Linked DNA regions of Drosophila melanogaster. The protein of the gene in region 1 interacts with the protein of each later gene in a pairwise test. Each region holds a gene or a part of one and is shown on either strand. Other genes may lie near its edges.

Region 1 (4,233 bases):
CGGTTATTTTACATTTATACTACTGCGCCCCTATCGACGAACTGTTTGGGCGACATCTAGCGTCTGTAAATGAAAGTCGCATTGCCGGTAGATGGCAGCACAGTAATAGTTATGTGCTTATTTGTAATGTATGTAGGTCCATTTCAATATTAACTTTCTATAATTAAGTTGCGGGAGGTCTCAACCTGCGGCAAGTACTCACTAAATCCTTACTGCGAGATTTTTAAATTCAAAAACTACATAATGGCAATTAAATGAGGCTAAGATGAGTATTTATATAAAATAAATGTTCTCTTCGGTAGCGAGTATTGATATAGATTAGGCAAAAAATCCATTTTCAAAAAACGAAAGCCTATTCCCATCTTTGTTTCGTGCAACCTTTTCGATAGTTATCGATAGAGAAAAATCGAAACACATATGTTTGGATCATGATACCTTTCTCTTACGCCGTCCGAAAGAACTGGCAGCCTGGGAAACAAAACTTATTCGTCATCAACTGAATAGCTATTGTAAACAATGGATACAAAGTGTGAGTAAAAAACATAAATTCAAGAAGAAAACTATATATATACTCACAATAAGCCAGCTTACGAAAGGAAGTGGTGTACATCCAACACCCGACTTTTATTGTCCCTTTACAATGAACGCCAAGCTGATTTTCGGGATCCGAAAAAAAAGATCAAGGACATTTGGGGGGAAATGGTCGTTGCCCTTGAAAGCCAGGGAATGACAGATATCGATGCAGTTCAGCTGGATCGAAAATTTAGGAACCTGAAGAAGACCTACTATAGCATAAGGAGCAAGCTCCTGGCGAAGGTACCGCATTTCCATCCAAACTGGCAGTTCTACGACGAGATGTCCGAAATTCTAAAGGATGACCCTGTCCCACCGCCGCAGGAACTTTCCATCAATGATTTCGATGAAGCGGTGGTCAGTTTGGAGACCGGTATCCAGAAAGGCAGGATGCTGTCTATGGGCACCACTGTCAGCACAGTTATTCCCCGCCAAATGCGTACGTATCGCAAACGAAAGCAGCCATTGGATGATGTCGATATCAAGATCCAGAAGGACTACGAAGTGCAAACGGATCGGCAGCGGGATGGGGAACAGTTTACAGTCTTTAATGCCGCCGAACCCAATACTAATGATTTGTCAGAGTCTGCGGCCGAGATCTCCATCAGCAACGACGAAGAGGCATTGAGACACCTAAGAGCGCTCCAGGAGTACGCCATGATCCATGATAATTTCAGGGCCATAGGACTGCTAATACAGGTGGAGCACGCCATTCAATATCCAGCCCAGATCAAGGACTTCGAGGTGGATCAAACGTAGTGTCCTTATAAACAAGCACGTAATCTACTGGAAAAGCAAAGATAAGATAAGGCACATACCTAATTTATACCTCTATATTTAAGATTTTAATATTTTATAATATATATACTTTAATTTACTTTATTTAAATATGGTTCATGCACTTGCTAACACCACTGAAAAATGAATCTGGTTCTAAACAAATCTGGCTTGGGTATTGGCTAAAATATTGCGCTGTGGCAATACCGTTTTCTAAAACCTATAGTTACAACAATCTAAAGGAATTTCACAAGAAAAACCAACATTTCTGAAATCTTATTAGTATTTTGAAGAGTAACAAAGTGAATCCTGCCGAGATCAACGCCGATCTGTAAGCAAGTTCGTCTTGGAAATTGACAAAAACCGAAAAATCTGGCAGCACCAATATGACACTAAAGGTTCAAGAAAAGACCTTCGGTTGCACAAAATAGAAAATTCAAACATAATTGAAAAGAATTAACTAGTATCGTGAAAACATGTAATACAGTTAATAAAAAGTTATAGTATTATGCAATATTGATCAAATGAAGCAAACTTTATCGATAACTTCGAAATTGCAACCCTAAATGCATCGGATGGGCAATACCAATCTGAAGTCTACAAAAAAGCATATTGTGGAAGTCTAAGTTTTGTTAAATTTATGGAAAAGGAATCCAATTTATCGGACAACTTGCAGTCCCGGTTATTTGCACTGGGTCCTGCCCCGCCAGGATTTCGTCCACCGGATGCTACCGCCTTTGCCACAGCGGAGTCAAATCTTCGTAATGCCATCCGCTACCTTAATGATACCTATGGCGAGCTCGATCAGCTGCGCACTGTCATCCAGAAGGAGAAGAATAACTCGAAGCGTACGTCCTACAAGGCGCAGTCCATGATGCTTGCCATGCAAGTGATACGTTTCAAAGGACTTATTGGGAAGTACAGGGACATTCTGATTGGCCTGCAGGATGCCGAAATCATCAAGGTCAAACAATACATAGAGCAAATGGTGGAGATGAGGAACAAAATCCAGGCAAAGACCGATCCCACACAGCGCGAGTTCCAAGTGGGCAGCTCAATCTCACTGGTGCAGGAACAGCGCAAGACCAAGAGAATCTGCCGCAGGTGGCGGGATCGCCTGGTCCAGCTGACGGAGGCCAAGATGGACAAAACTGAGCAACTTACTGAGAAACCAAAGCTGATCAATGTAAGAACCGTTACAAAAGAACTTATACATATTTTCATTGCGCTTCCAATATCCATCCATGTTTTCATGAAAACTCTCATCGAATTCTGATCGAATTTCGACTGAACTCGATATGCTTTTTTAGAAACCTAGAAATATGTTAAATGCAAAAACCAACAAGTGGAAGGAAGCTGTAAGCTTGGTGAGTATAGCCAAACATATAAAGGATAAGTTAAATGCTAGTAAATATAAAACTAATCCTAGCAACAAAGCGGTCTAATTAAAAGTGGCTGTAAGAGGTGTGAATACCTAAGAAAGCTGACTAAGAATCGTCCATCCAAACTTTGTAAGGTGTGTAAAAAATGGTCTGATGATGAAAAAGCAAAAGCGGCAGGAAATAAGAAAGCCAACAAAACGCCAATAATGGTATGACACTATTGAAAAGTCGCAACATAAATTAATACTATTATTGCAGGCGAAGTCGAAAAAATTAGAAGTACGCGTGCGTACGGATTCTGAAGAAGCTATAATTAAAATAGAGATAGAGGTGGGTGTGTACAAGTAGATCAACAGTAACATTAGCACTTATTATTAATTTTCTTAGCATGGTGAATTTACCGATGAAGAGGAAATTGGGTCATTGGAAAAGGAAACGACCTTAAAAGATGAGATCAAGGAGGTTAGTTGTTTCTTCAACCTGAAAAATGTGTTTAATTTTGGAATGTTTTTTTTTAGACTGTTGAATCTCACGACACGGCAGCAGTTGAGGTAAGTAAACAGGTCCTTGGACTGTAATAGAACTAACGTAACGATAAATGACTCAATGACAGGAGGAAAATGAGACCAGTCAAGACGATGTGGACCCCAAAGTAGTCGCTTCCTTACAAAATTCACTGAAATCCATCGACTGTAAAAATATGGCCTTGGCCTACGTGAAGGTCTTACAGGAGTACGCCATGTTAAATGATAACTATCGGGCCATTGGACTACTTACTGAAGTTGAAAAATCAGTTTTAAATCCGCCTCAGAACGAGGATTTCGATCTATGATCTTATTGACGCCACAAAAATAAAGTTTAGTTTTTATATGTAATCTACAATTAAAATGTTCGTGTGTCCTGCCTTTGAGAGTCAAGACCCAAAATGTGTAAATAATTGTAATATGCGAAAAGAGTTTATAGAGTGGAATAACCAACAGGGTCCCACTTAAATGTGGTAAACGTTAAATTAAGCACTAGATATAATTTGAGCAAAAATAGCTTTATATATATGTATGTGTACATATCAAACCAGTTTCAGCTCAGATTAGGTGGTAATGCGATTTGTGTTTTTCGGCATGTTAAACCAGTTATAGCTGCTTTAGCGAGAGAATATTTACTCTCGATCCGAAAATAAATCCCATACCGCGAACGAATACCACCACGATCGGAATCGGAACGTGGGAAGTCGGTTTAGATCGCGAGAGAAAGAGCGGAATGTCTCTCGCAAAGATACGGTTTTTGCCGCTCCGCCAAACGGAGGAGAGTCCAGATCTCTGCAATGTTCGGACCGCATGCTCAGTCATTGAGTTGCACTCGCTCTGGCAACTTTAAACACGTGCGACCGCACATATTTTCTGTTTAATGTGCCTAAAAAACTGCTGTATATTTTCAACAAAGTGTACTTTATGCTCTAAGCTTTCCGACTGAGGTATGTAAACAAGATTTCTAGCTCTTCTCT
Region 2 (2,745 bases), on another chromosome or scaffold:
GGTTATACCGCTCAGTCTACTACATATACCATGCACCAGATGCCGCGGGGCACAGACAACAAGAAGTAAAAGAAAGGACCCCATATGGTGCCGACGGCTCAAGTGATTAAGTGCACGACGAGATCTTCAAATGCAGTGCAACATGTGCACAAATACAAAACACACACACACACACACACACACGCATATTGAAAATGTATGTAAATTCTAATTAAGATTGTGGATGAAGACCCCCAGCACCTTGATACTTCTGCTCAATGCGCATTGCGCATGCGCAGCCCCGCATCCGAAGATCCATAAAAATAGCTCACTAATTATTTGTGTGCTAGGGTTACAGTTCTCATAAAAAACAAACAAACTGTCGGGCGTTTTATGGATCTTCTGCCTCTATGGCCTCAATGCCCCCGCGAAGTTTTCGATCCCCATTCGATTCGAAACCGAAGAAGAGCTACGACCAATCACTTTTCAATTCCTATGAGCAGTTGAGCATCAATTGATTTCGATATGAAAATAAAATACATTTATTTATTATCACATTACGTATCACAGCCATTCGCCCGCCTACGCCCTGGCATCTGGATCGCCACATCCATCGTGCGGACCTTGTGCCGGCATTTCCGAGCTGATTAGCCTCCGAATCTCGACCAGAACCCGGTCCGTTCGAGCCTCCAGGTTGTCGAGGGCGGTGTTTAGGTCATCCAAGCTGGAATTGACTCTGGCCATCAGACGCTCCGAGTTGTTGGTCAGCTCGATGAGGTCATCGAAACTGCTGGCCTGGCGACTCTCCATCGATATCCTGTCCAGATCCAGCTGCAGCTGCTCATCGGCGCTGTCCATCTGGGCTTTAAGGGCTGGGAAAACAACTTTCGATTTAAATTTAAATTTTTTTCACCCTAAATCATGATTTTCGGTGTTATTTTGTGCCATGCGATCCGAAGTGTAAAGCAAATTTGACTTGGTTTGTTTTGCTATCGAACATAATTAAAGTTGCTTACCATAAACCAATTTAATTTAATTGTAATTGCAGCTAACTGGCTTTTGGGTACTTTTGCTTTTAACGCCAAATGTGAAATATTAAGTATATTTTATTTAAGCGATGGCACCTGTAAATTGAGATTTAAGGGGTATATTAAATGGGTGAACTTGATGATTTTTTTTTTTCATCAAACGTTTATTAAAGTCTATTGCTTAAAAAAATGAAAGTAAATTGCTTGCCATTTTAGGAGGATATTTTTGAAAAATCGTTACAACTTTTCAAATACAATAAATTAAATGTTTTGAAAAATATTTGCGCCCAGGGCACCAGAAAGTCCACTCTTCTTTTTCGACTATTGTTTGTTTTGCTTTGTTTGTAATTGGCGAGCTATTACAAGAGCTACACTCGTTCATTTCATTAAACCCATTTACAAAATGGCTTTGTCCATTATTTATACATATCAATTATAAATTTGTGCGCTGCGACTGCAATATTCATATTCACTTGTCAAAATGTCAACTCAAAATAGAATATTTATGAATTTTTATGTGTGCATATCGGTCCGTGATTTGTTTGTTTTACGCTCTCCTTTCGAGAACTCTTTGTTAGCATTCAGGATTGGGTTGAAGTAAATAATAAAAAAAATGCAGCAACCAGAAAAGAGGAGAAAATGACAATTCAGCCTATAAATACGCGGCGGCAACCGAAGTTGAAATCAATTTTTTTGGCCCCATACTGCGGTGGTCGCGTTCCCCCCCACCCCCGCACCAGTTTGGTACTGAAAATTGGAAGTGGGCTCCACCGAATGCGGTGCCACTATTTAGTTTAGCCGCAGAACAAGGTGCCTCAATTTATTTTTAATTGCATGCAAATTGAGCCAATCGGCCGGCTGATGGATGTGGTTGCTTGTCCAACGATGCGGTCTTTTTTTTCGGCTATTAAGAGGATGGACTGCTGCTCCTTTCTGTTTCATCTGCTGGCTTAGGCATTTTCACTTAATGAATTTTCATTCAAAGTGACTGCTGCAAGGATGTGTCGTCCTGGCTGTGAAGTGAACTTCCTGCCATTAACCGAACTGCTGCTGCTGCTGCTGCCAGCATGGTGGCCAAAAAGTATGCCTCTGTTGACGTTTTCTTTGTGGTTGGCTAAAATCTGTTATTATTGCCATTAAGCTGGCTTTTGTTGTCATCTCTCCGGCCTGCCTACATACGCATACACATACATCTATGTATGCATATGCATTTGTGCATTTACCCTGCCGATATCCTTCAGCTCGAGTGGTTGTGTGGATTTTCCTGGTCTTCCAGCGGGTTAACTTGGATCTGTTCTTGAGGTTGTTATCACTTGGTTATTGAATTTTCCGCACACACTTTACAAGCTCTAAATCTAAACGGCTCAACTTGTTGCCGCCGCCCAGTTTGAAAACGTTTTTGTTACTGCTCGTCGTCATTAGTTGAAAAGCGCTCTTAGTTTGCCTCGTTTGTTTGCCGAAAAGTCTCATTGTTGCCACGTCTTTGGGTCCGGCTTCTTCTGGTTCTGTTGTTGCTGCATAACGCAGCCTGTTGTTGTCATCAGGTTGCATTTGCGTTTTACACTGTTTTGCCCAAATAAAGGCATATAATTTATGTGTGTGGTAGTAGTCCTGGTCGTTGTGCCACGTTGAATGTCCTTACCGAGCTTATATCCGAGCGGAGAATACTAAGTGAGCTGCAGCTCCATTGTGGTCCATAAACTTTGTCACGCTGTGTAGCCTCTTCCCTGGCTGCCGG

What was found. The genes of interacting proteins can lie anywhere in the genome.
Region 2: the proteins of CkIIalpha-i3 (region 1) and CG13838 interact in a two-hybrid assay, tested with the Drosophila melanogaster proteins (one large-scale study listed by BioGRID).

What each region holds. Positions count from the first base shown.
Region 1 is NT_037436.4:708,041-712,273, reverse strand, and holds CkIIalpha-i3 (CKII-alpha subunit interactor-3), read left to right. Parts: upstream 1-1,912; 5' UTR 1,913-1,916; coding exon 1,917-1,964; exon of another isoform or gene 1,965-1,990; coding exon of another isoform or gene 1,991-2,026; coding exon 2,027-2,536; intron 2,537-2,660; coding exon 2,661-2,717; intron 2,718-2,779; coding exon 2,780-2,941; intron 2,942-2,990; coding exon 2,991-3,062; intron 3,063-3,119; coding exon 3,120-3,194; intron 3,195-3,250; coding exon 3,251-3,283; intron 3,284-3,345; coding exon 3,346-3,564; 3' UTR 3,565-3,673; downstream 3,674-4,233. Other genes in the region: CG13896 (uncharacterized protein), read left to right, coding at 517-529, 587-1,332.
Region 2 is NT_033777.3:23,040,425-23,043,169, reverse strand, and holds CG13838 (uncharacterized protein), read right to left. Parts: upstream 930-2,745; 5' UTR 838-929; coding exon 562-837; 3' UTR 501-561; downstream 1-500.